3 linked regions of the Notamacropus eugenii genome follow. Each later gene encodes a partner of the first gene's protein in a complex. Links are inferred from orthologs where the notes say so. Each region holds a gene or a part of one and is shown in the gene's direction. Other genes may lie near its edges. The genes, in order: NOG, BMP2 and BMP7.

The links.
Region 2: the proteins of NOG (region 1) and BMP2 are in contact, whole or in part, in a crystal structure (PDB 7AG0), measured with the Homo sapiens proteins. The link is inferred for Notamacropus eugenii from reciprocal best matches to the Homo sapiens genes NOG and BMP2. Residues at the interface, in NP_005441.1 of Homo sapiens: Ile33, Arg34, Pro35, Ala36, Pro37, Ser38, Asp39, Asn40, Pro42, Leu43, Val44, Asp45, Leu46, Ile47, His49, His199, Arg204, Arg206, Pro219, Ile220, Gln221, Tyr222, Pro223; in NP_001191.1 of Homo sapiens: Trp310, Asp312, Trp313, Val315, Ala316, Pro317, Pro318, Gly319, Tyr320, Ala368, Ile369, Ser370, Met371, Leu372, Tyr373, Lys379, Val380, Val381, Leu382, Lys383, Asn384, Tyr385, Gln386, Met388.
Region 3: the proteins of NOG (region 1) and BMP7 are in contact, whole or in part, in a crystal structure (PDB 1M4U), measured with the Homo sapiens proteins. The link is inferred for Notamacropus eugenii from reciprocal best matches to the Homo sapiens genes NOG and BMP7. Residues at the interface, in NP_005441.1 of Homo sapiens: His29, Tyr30, Leu31, His32, Ile33, Arg34, Pro35, Ala36; in NP_001710.1 of Homo sapiens: Phe365, Pro366, Leu367, Asn368, Ser369, Asn375, Ile378, Val379.

The regions. Positions count from the first base shown.
Region 1 is NC_092873.1:368,509,955-368,512,958, forward strand, and holds NOG (noggin), read left to right. Parts: upstream 1-940; 5' UTR 941-994; coding exon 995-1,693; 3' UTR 1,694-2,381; downstream 2,382-3,004. UniProt on the Homo sapiens protein: Inhibitor of bone morphogenetic proteins (BMP) signaling which is required for growth and patterning of the neural tube and somite. Essential for cartilage morphogenesis and joint formation.
Region 2 is NC_092872.1:578,460,062-578,463,809, forward strand, and holds the start of BMP2 (bone morphogenetic protein 2), read left to right. Parts: upstream 1-1,389; 5' UTR 1,390-1,517; intron 1,518-3,748. UniProt on the Homo sapiens protein: Growth factor of the TGF-beta superfamily that plays essential roles in many developmental processes, including cardiogenesis, neurogenesis, and osteogenesis. Induces cartilage and bone formation.
Region 3 is NC_092872.1:508,737,013-508,740,760, forward strand, and holds the start of BMP7 (bone morphogenetic protein 7), read left to right. Parts: upstream 1-1,545; 5' UTR 1,546-1,625; intron 1,626-2,079; exon of another isoform or gene 2,080-2,245; 5' UTR 2,246-2,301; coding exon 2,302-2,722; intron 2,723-3,748. UniProt on the Homo sapiens protein: Growth factor of the TGF-beta superfamily that plays important role in various biological processes, including embryogenesis, hematopoiesis, neurogenesis and skeletal morphogenesis.

The DNA.
Region 1 (3,004 bases):
GCTGCCGCTGCCCGGAGTCTGCATCCAAGCTCATTCGGCTCCTCGGGGGTGGAGAAGTGGGGGGGTGGGGTTGTTTGGGGGGAAGAAAGGGGAGGGGGAAACGAGAGAGAGAGGGAGAGAGAGAGAGAGTCAGTGGTTTCCATGGTGATGGAGCTGAAAGTGCAGGAAATTTAAAGGCTTGGACCCTTCGAGACAGACAAACCGGTGCCAACGTGCGAGGAGCCGCCGCCGCCGCCGCCGCCGCCGCCGCCGCCGCTGCTGCTGCTCTAGCTCCTGCTCTCGCTCTCGCTCCTGCTGCTGCTCCAGCTCCTGCTCCGGCTCCTGCTCCTGGTCCAGCTGCTGCCTTTGCCACCGCCGTTATCGCTGCTGCTGCTGCCGCCGCCGCAGCTGCCGCCGCTGCTGCTCCTGTCCTTGCTGCCGCTGCCGCTACTCCCGCCACCGCCGCCGCTGCTGCTGCTCCTGGAGACTGCCCTACAGAGCCCCGAACACCAGGCTGGGGGGAGCGCCCCCGGGACCCCTACACAGGAGTACACTCACCCTGAAGCGCCCCTGCCGAGAAGCAAGGCAGCACTGTGAGCAGGAAACGAAGGAGGAGAGGGAAAAGCCACGCCACCGCTACCGAGCGAGACAGGCGAGTCCCCGCGCCCCGCGCCTTCTGCAGTCCGGAGAAAGAAGAGACGAGCCAGGGACACCCCAGCCACGACCGCTGTCCTTGGAGTCACTTTGGATGCGCCCCTTCCCCAGCTAAAAAAGAGAGGACGAGTTAGAAGAAAGTTCACCCACCCCTATCACCACCCTCGGTGGGAGAAAGGAGGGCAGAGGGACCAGGATTTTCTCCCATGCTGTCGGTCCTCCGCTCCCCTTGGTTTTGGTGAGCTGCTCCCGAGAGGGAAGACCGCCTGAGGGGGCTTGGCGTGATTTTCGTCCGGGGGGTGGGGAGGGTGGGGCGGGGGACCCAGGGAGATCGCTGCAGCCCCAGCCCCGCGCCGGAGGCATGGAGCGGTGCCCCAGCCTGGGGGTCACCCTGTACGCCGTGGTGGTGGTACTGGGGCTCCGGGCGGGGCCGGCGGGCTGCCAACACTACCTCCACATCCGCCCGGCCCCCAGCGACAACCTGCCCCTGGTGGACCTTATCGAGCATCCGGACCCTATCTTTGACCCCAAGGAGAAGGATCTAAACGAGACGCTGCTCCGCTCCCTGCTGGGGGGTCACTACGACCCGGGTTTCATGGCCACCGCGCCTCCAGAGGACCGGCCAGGCGGGGGTGGGGGGGCCGCCGGGGGCGGCGAGGACCTGGCGGAGTTGGACCAGCTGCTGCGGCAGCGGCCGTCGGGGGCCATGCCGAGCGAGATCAAAGGGCTGGAGTTCTCGGAGGGCTTGCCCCCGGGCAAGAAACACCGGCTCAGCAAGAAGCTACGCAGGAAGTTGCAGATGTGGCTCTGGTCGCAGACCTTCTGCCCAGTACTCTACGCGTGGAACGACCTGGGCAGCCGCTTCTGGCCCCGCTACGTGAAAGTGGGCAGCTGCTTCAGCAAGCGCTCTTGCTCCGTGCCGGAGGGCATGGTCTGCAAGCCGGCCAAGTCGGTGCACCTCACTGTGCTGCGGTGGCGGTGCCAGCGGCGAGGGGGGCAGCGTTGCGGCTGGATCCCCATCCAGTACCCCATCATTTCGGAATGCAAGTGCTCTTGCTAGAACTCGGGGTCCCTCTTGCCCAGACCCCAACTCTCGATCCACCCCCTCGCCGCCCTCCTCACCCCTATTCTGCCACCCTCCCAGATCGGATTCAATGAACTTTTTTTTTTGGCTACAGAGACATAGCTTTCTGGTTCATGTAATGCACTGTTAACTGTGTAGGAATGTATGTGTGTGTATATACGGTCTCAGTTTTAATTTACTTATTAAAAGGTCAGTATTATACGTTCAAAGTTACCGGCTTCTACTGTATTTTTAAAAAAAGACAAAAGGAAAAAAAAAAGCAGAGAGAGAGAGACTGTTATTCTGGTTGTTGCTAATGTTACCCTGCTATTTATATCCAGAGCACTTCGCCTGGCGAAGCAGAAAAAGTTATTTTTTTTTTAAGTACAAAGATGAGAGGGGGAAAAAAATTTTTTTTGTAGAAGGACTTTTAAAAAGAAGAAGCTATTTTCCATTCTTCGGAAAGTGTTTTTGTTTGTTTGTTTTTTGTTTTTGTTTTCCTTGGATCTCGCAGAAGCTATAGAGTTCAATGTTATTTTACAGCTATTGTAAATAGAGAGAACAAATGGAATGACTAATCATTGTAAATTAAGAGCACCTGCTATTTATTCTTTATAATATCATCCCGTGTAGTAAAAGAGAGAGAGAAGTGCAGAGCAGAATTAAAGTCAACCACTAAAACCGACTCTGCGCCTGGGCACTGCCAGTCTATTTGTTGACCCTCTTTCCTGGCTGGGGGGGGGGGGGGTGGCCGGTGGGCAGGCGGACCTTGGGGGAGGAGGGTAGTGGGGTAGGGTGGGGGTCCTCACGTGGGTTTTCCTTGAATGGAGAGAAGGAGCCTCTCCAGCTCCCAGGACTCTCCTCCATTGGGGGTGAAGAAGAGGTTATCACCTCCTAATGAGTTTCTCAGCGGCCGCTGGCGGGGTTAGGGGGGACAGGCAATGCGGTGAAGTGAGGAGGGGGTGCACGGTGATGTCAAATCACCTCTTTTTGGAATCACATGGCTCCTTCCGAACTCCAACTTTTTTTTTTCCTCTCCCTGTTACTAAAACTCCATCTCGTCTTGACCTCGACACCCAGCCGGCCTCCCGGAGCTGACCCTAAGCTGGGCTGTGGGACGGGGGGCGGGGAGTGGGGGGAGACAGCCGCTTTGTCCTGCCTGACAGGCTGTTCACAATGGGGACACGTGTCTTTCACACCTACCCTGGGGGCGGAGTGCAGCTGAAACTTGACCCCCTCTGAATGGGAGGGGGAAGAGGGGAGGAGGGAGATTTGAGCGCCCACCCAGATCCCAACACCCCTCCCGCC
Region 2 (3,748 bases), on another chromosome or scaffold:
AAAAGAAACTGAGGACTAGAGAGACTCATTTGGTTAAGTTCATCTAGTTGGTTAATGGAAGAGTTAAGCCTCTAACGCAGGCCTCCTGATTCCTATGACCAGTGCCCTTTCTACCAGAGTATGCTATTTCCCTTCCTGATCACATGCCATGCCTTTTCTTCTTGGGCCTCACCTTTACCTCTAGTCTTCTACTACCTCCCAGTATCCTCTTCTTGGATTATCATTTCTATCTTCTCCTCAGTGGTAATGTGGACTCTGCCCCTAGGTCTTTCAGCTCTAAGAGGTGAACATTTGCTGTATCTTGCCAGGGACCCAGAATTCCATGCCAGTTCCTGGTCAGGTCCATGCCCTATAGACCATACTCCCTTCCCTTTGCAAGTTTCCTCTAAATGCTATTTTACCCTCAATAGAATGTAAACTTCTTTGGGACACAGGGTGTCCCAAAAATCTTAGCGTATTTTTAAGCTTTATTAAAGCCTAATAAAAGCAGCTAGGTGGTACAGTGAACATAGGGTTGGACCTGGCATCAGGAAGACTTATCTTCCTGAGTTCAAATCTGGCCTCAGACATCTACTAGCAGTGTGACCTTGGCCAAGTATCTTAACACCATTTGCCTCAGTTTCCTCATCTGTCAAATGAGTTAGAGTTTTGCAAACCACTCTAGTATCTCTACCCTCCCTCCCCCCCCAAAAAATCAAAACAACAACAACCCAAATAGGGTCATGAAGAATTAGAAATGACTGAAAAATGACTGAACAAAACAGGAAAAGTCAAGTAAAGCTTAAAACTGCATTAAGACTTTTGGGACACCTTGTATTTTAATCCCTGTGCCTAGCATAGCTTTTGCTATATAGTAAGTATTTATAAATACTTAAAATTATTACAACTAACAATGAGACACTTTACCTAATGACATATCAGAAACACAAAAGCCCCAAGTTATGCCACCTACTTTGAACTTTTTCCTCAGCAAGAACCTCATGTATCATTCCTAAATTGTTAATTAGCTGGGTGTGAATTAAAGAGGTTTCCTTGAACTCTGTTGCACAACATCACTTAATCCCAAAGTTCCTCTTACCTTAGTGCACAGGATGGCTACCTGGGGAATGGAAAGTCTTCTTTAAAATATTTAAGTTACTACTACAGAGTTAGGCATCAGAGAGACTGGGGCCTATTCATCTTTTAAAATACTTTGATTTGGTTTGCCAGGGGATATCTGATTGTCAATTATGTTTGAAGGAAGTGGGTGTGACCAAGGAGAGTAATATTTCTTCCTCTGAGGACAGTAAAAACCATTGGTACACATGCTTCCTTTTAATTTGCAGTGACGAGAGAGCCGGTGATTCAGAATATGCACATTGCAAGAGCAACATTCATGCCGGTTTCTTTTGTAAGTCACAAAGTAATATTTCTTCCCTGTGGCTGAGGATCGGGGCTTGATCTGTGTTTTTTGGAAGAGTTGAAACACGTGAAGATCATACTGAGGCCTTGTCAAACTGACAATGTTCCTTTGCTGAGTGAGTACATCCCCCCTTCCCATCATTTCCAAGGCAAGTAAGTAAGAAGGTTGGAAGTTATGGTAGTATTCCATTATGGATTAGATAAACTGACAAAAACAGTCTTGTCATGAATTGAAATGTTTTGTTTTGTACATTTTGGTAATATCTTGAAAGCAGAAAGTGAGAGTAAAACTGTTAGCTCTGTGTTAATTTGTTAATGTTGTTATTAGATTTGAAAGACGTTTGGGTATTTGATTGGGAAGTAAGGCCACTTATTAGCAAACTTGAGGGAAAAGAACCTAAGTGACAAGGTAGAAATAAGGTAATACAGGAACTGAAGATATTTGCCTGATTAAAAACAGTTGCTGAGCTCTACTAGAAAGGTACACATTGTTATCTTTTCTTTTTTATGGACCATAAAAAGCAGTGGTAGATGAAAACACGTTTGTGAGAACTAGGAGAAATTTATCTAATGATATGTTATTGGTTTTGTATGTGTGTATCTGTATACTTATTGAGATAACCTGTTTCCACATGTGGACAAAATATACAGTATGATCAGTTAAAAATAAAAACAAACAAATAAAAGCTAACTCGTTTTCTACATTGTGTTGGCTTCGTGATAGCAAACGGTTAATTTGATTGAAACTTTAATGTTACTTTAACAAAAATTAACCAATTTTCTGAGTATTTACATCTGTTTAGAGACTATTTCTTCAAACAATTCTGAATCAGAGATGGTTTTATCCATATGTAGTGCGTGCACCCATTTTCCTGGTATGGTGTCAAAGGCTACCTACTTTCTATTCTGGAATCAGAGGACTTAGGTTTAAATTTTACCTCTTTGTGTCTTTGTGACCTTAGGCAAAACTGAGTGTGTGTATAAAATGAGGAAGCTGGATTATCTGCCCTCTGAAATCCTTTCCAGAATTATATTTAGGATTCTACGACCCTAGAAGTAGAGTTTGATGAGAGAGGGAAGAAAAGAACATAGGAATATTGGAAACCTGAGAATGGGGGGGGGGGGGGGGAGGGAGAGAAGGGCATAAAAGAAGCTGAAAGAAGCCAAAGAAAACCCTTTCCTATTTTACATTTGGCTGGACAAGGTTTAGCCTGGTATTTAGTCTAGTATTTAAAATATCCATCGTACCTGATAACCGTATTTGATTAACAGTTGAAATTATTTTTGATAGATCTTTTAACACTGATTATGGATTTCTCTCATCTTGATCCTCCTGTAGAACACAGGCAAATTATTTTTTCCAGGAAATTTGCAAGGGATCTCACCAAAAGTTGGGGAGATGGAAGGCACAGGGGGATGGGGGAAGGGAATGAATAATTTTTGTTGATACCTTCCAGGGTAAGTGTGAGTTTGCTAAGCAAAACAATGGTGGAGCTCTAGCACAAATATTAGTTAAGCCATTTCCTAATCAAAGAACAACTCATGAAAGAAGGGAATTTTTTTTTTTTTCTTGCGTGAGAAATTTGTTATTCTAGGACAAAGGCATTCTTTGGCAAATATTTTTAGGAAGCCAGAACATTTGAACTTATTACTTTCGATAGGTCTCTTTTCAGTATGTATCCCTGTGGTCTGAGCTTAGCTGTAAAGGCTCTTCCTGGGATTTGAGACTCCTGTGATTCTAAAAATTGAGTTTATGAGTCATTGAAATGTTCCGTATCTCCACTTATTCTGTATTTTGTTGCCAGACTCAGGAGAAAATAGTTAAAACAGAATAACAGTCACCTGATGTAGGGAATCCTAGTTTCATAGGTCATTATCTAGCATACTTCTCATATAGCACAAGAATTCTCTTTTCAGCATCCATGATAGATGACTATCCAACCTCTCCTTAAATACCTCCAGTCATGTGGAGATTATAAAACAGCCTGCTATCTATTGCTACTGATACTATGTAGTAATACATGTTAGAATATTTTTATACTATGCCAAAATCTATCTCTCTGTACTTTATTAGTCCTAGTGCCATCCTCTGGATTTACACAGTTTAAATGCTGCAACTCTTCTACATCTGTGCATGCCTTTATTCAACAAATATTAAGTTGTTACTATGTGTAACATAGTTTTCCATACTCTGAAGCACTGGTAAAGTAAACCATATTTTAAAGAAAAATTTTTAGGTGAAGGAGAAAAGAAGATAGGTCAATGGTAAGAGTGACACATGATCATTAGATAGCCATAGGGCTCCACTGATAGGCTTGTGATGTCAAGGGAAAACAAAGAAGGCCCT
Region 3 (3,748 bases), on another chromosome or scaffold:
CATGCCTAAGAAAATAGCTAGGTGACCTGCTGCTTTCCTGGGAAACAGTTGGGAGAGACTAAGTGTATTTGTCACAAAAATAGTGGAACTATTTTGCTTCTAGTGAAAAGTACACTTTTTGGAGGCTGGGGTTTCATCCTTGTTCTGTCACTCTGAGCAAGTTACTTAACCTCTCAGCTCTTTTCTGTTCCGTGGGACCAATAATACCTACCCTTCCTACCTCACTGGATTATTGTGAGAGTCATGTGACATAATTAATACACGTGAAAGTACTTTGAAAAGCACAAAGGTCTATACAAGTAGGGGAGGTCCTGTTACTTTGGGGATAATATTTTTCTCTTTATTTAGCATTTTAGGCCACTCAGAAAAAGTACTGTGTGAGTACATAAAAGGTAGTAGAGGTAGGTGCCTACCTACCTCACCTTTAAAGTTTTGTTTAAATACCAATTAATTGCCTTCAGTTGGTAATGACCTTCCTTCCCTTAGACTTTACTTAGCTTTTTGTTCTGCATCTTCAAGCACTTAAGTAATATTGTGTATTTAGCTATCTGTATTGGTGTTTTATCCTCCCCAGCTAGATTCCTTTTGCAGGGACCTAATATATTCTCTTCCTTATGGCTACCAGTGGCCAGTATATACACTGAGTACACTGTAGGCATTCAGTAAATCTTGTAATGGATTATTCCTCTTGTCCAGGCCCCTGCTTCAGCTGGAGATCAGTCGTAGTAGTCATATTTGGCCTTCCCAAAGAGAGGCTCAGGGTGGAGCCACCCTACCCGGGAAAGGAAAGACCAGAGAAATGTCAGCTTCAACCTGCTCTTCCCTGTCTTCTGCTTCCCATGTGCGCATCTATTTCTTTGGGATAACAGCCCATGGCTAGAGTACTAACTAGAAAGAAGAGTGTCATCTGGGTTCTCCCTGCTCCTGAAGTGGGGGGGGGGGGGGACACAGAGAAGAACCACAAAGGGAGATCACCTCAACTCCCAGACCACCTGTTGAACCTTTGAAGCTCCCAATCCCTTGCAGGAAGGAGAGGTGGTAATTAATTTGCTTTGTTAGGTCCTTTATCCTCTAGCTCTCCTGACCTTGGGCTAACTATCTATGTAGGTCAGGGCAGACTATAACCAAAAAAACCCACACAAAAAAAATAAAAAACAAAAGGCAGCTATCCTTCTTGAAGTGCTTCCCTGGGATCCTCCCCTGGCACTAATGGCAGCAGCTGGTGGGTGGGTGGGGCAGAAGGGTGTCGTTGCTGGCAGCTTTCCTGCCCAGAATGTTTCTTCCCTTGGGCGGGAGTGGAAAGTGTGTGTGGTGGTGGTGTTGGTGGTGGTGGTAGTGGTGCTAGTGGCAGTGGGAGGTGAATGGGAGCTCCTTCTATGGACAGCAGTTTGAGGGGGGAGGGTGGTAAGACGGAGATAGATAGTAGGCTCAGGTGGGAGGGTGGTGGGGGCACAGTCATATTTCTGTCCCTTTTCCTTTCTTTCCAACTATTGTTATTGAGTTCTGGAAGGCTGCAGGCGCACTCTGAAACCAGCTTCTAAACCACTTAGGTTAATTTAACTGCTTGTGAAGAGCCCACCCTGCTTTGAGCCCGGAGCCTCCAAAACATCTTGAAAAGAAAGCCGGTGAGCTCTGGGTCATAATATGGTTTTCTTCTCTAAGCAATTTGGAGTCTGTCTCTCTGTGCGAGTGAGCGCGTGTGTGTGAGTGTGTGTGAGTGTGTGTGTGTGTGTGTGTGTGTGTGTGAGAGAGAGAGAGAGAGAGAGAGAGAGAGAGAGAGAGAGAGAGAGAGAGAGAGAGAGAGAGAGAGAGAGAGAGAGGAGAGAGGAGAGAGAGAGAGAGAGAGAGAGAGCTCTGAGTTTTACTGGCTGCTCCTCCCACAAGATACAACTCCCGCTGCCTCTGTCTGCAAAGCAACATTCAAACACCACTTTGAGACTTGGTGTGTGTGAGAAGTGAAGAGAGGAGAGCAGAGCTGAGGACCCCCCCCCCCCCCCCCCCAAGAATTGAAAGCCAAACTCAGTCCGCTGGGGAGATTCATCTGTCGCCTGTCTTCTCTATGTGGATTTTACAATCTGAGGGGAAACAAAAGCAATATTGAACAAGTTAGCCATGAGAAATGCTTTGCAGTGGCTCTCTGGGGAAGTTGTGTAGCAAGTGACCAGGGCTCTGAAGCAGCCTCTCTTCCCTCTTCCCTCCAAACTTTAGCTGTATTTAATGGTCAAGTATTTATTTGGATCCCCAGGCTAGCCCAGTTGCTCTCTTTCTCCCCTTCCTGGAGAGCCCTGTGAAGCAAGAGAGATGCATGTGGTGTGGCTCAAGCCGGGACCCCCCAGCTTCCTGGTCCTTTGGTCTCCACTTTTTCTACTGCTGCGCTCCATCCTGGCCGACTTCACCCTGGATAATGAGGTGCACTCCAGCTTCATCCACAGGAGGCTCCGCAGCCAAGAGCGCCGAGAGATGCAACGAGAAATCCTCTCCATCCTGGGTTTGCCCCACCGGCCCAGGCCCCACCTCCATGGCAAACAGAACTCAGCCCCCATGTTCATGCTGGATCTCTACAATGCCATGTCAGTGGAGGAGGAGGTCGGCGGAGAAGAGGGCCAGGGGTTCTCTTACCCTTACAAGCCCATCTTCAGCACCCAGGGTCCTCCGCTGGCCAGTTTGCAGGACAGTAACTTTCTAACTGATGCAGATATGGTCATGAGCTTCGTCAATCTGGGTGAGTGGGGTCAATGGAATTTACTTTTCCCACACAAGGTGGGACAGAGGGTATGGGTGCTCCAAGGTACCTCTATGGGAAGATGATGGGGAGGAGGCTGTTTAACGAGCAAAGGAGATCTCCACTCTCCTTTGTGGAGTCACTAGGGTGAACTGAAAAGGGGATTTGGGTTTTTGAGGGAAATAGCAAGGACTGGCTATAGAAAAGGCTCATAATTTTATTCTATCAGATCGGAGGAAAGCAGAATTTCTTCCCGAGATCGCTTTGAAGTAGCTCAATTTCTCTTTGCTGTAATGAGGACTCATATCCCTTTAACTGTCTTGAGTTCCCCCTGTTCCCCACACCCTCTCACCAGACACCTTTCTTCCCACCTGAATTCCTCCTCCTTCCCAAAACAGAAAGCGGATGTTTTTCTTTGCCGGGTCTAAGGCGAACGTGGACTGGGAACGTTCCCAGGTAGGGAAACCCAGCGTGTGAGTGTGTGTATGTGAGTGTGTGTGTGAGTGAGTGTGTGTGTGAGTGTGTGTGTGTCCTCACAGGGAATGTCTTCTGAAGTCTTTCTCTCTTTCCTGGCTGTTGTACCTCTTGGGGGAAGATGTAAAACCGGGAGAGGCAAAGAGCTAGTGAGATTCGGCACAGTTCAAAGCATCAGGCTTTGAGTCATGTGAATGCTCCCAGCTAAGGCAACTGCAAATGGACAGATCCCAGTGGATTGGGGGAAGCTGCCTTAGCCAGATTTAAAGGGCCAAGCTTCTGTTAACCTGCTTTCCTAATGACTTTCTCTCTCTCTCTCTCTCTCTCTCTCTCTCTCTCTCTCTCTCTCTCTCTCTCTCTCTCTCTCTCTCTCTCTCTCTCTCTCTCTCTCTCTCTCCTCTCTCTCTCCCCTCTTCCCCCCCCCCCCCCCCCCCCCGTCTCTATCTCTTTTTCTCTGTCTCTTTTTGTCTCTCTCTCTTACCCCCTTCTTCCCCTCTCCCCCAGTCTAGTTGAGGTCATTTAACATACCTTTCTGGTCAAGCTTCTATGAGG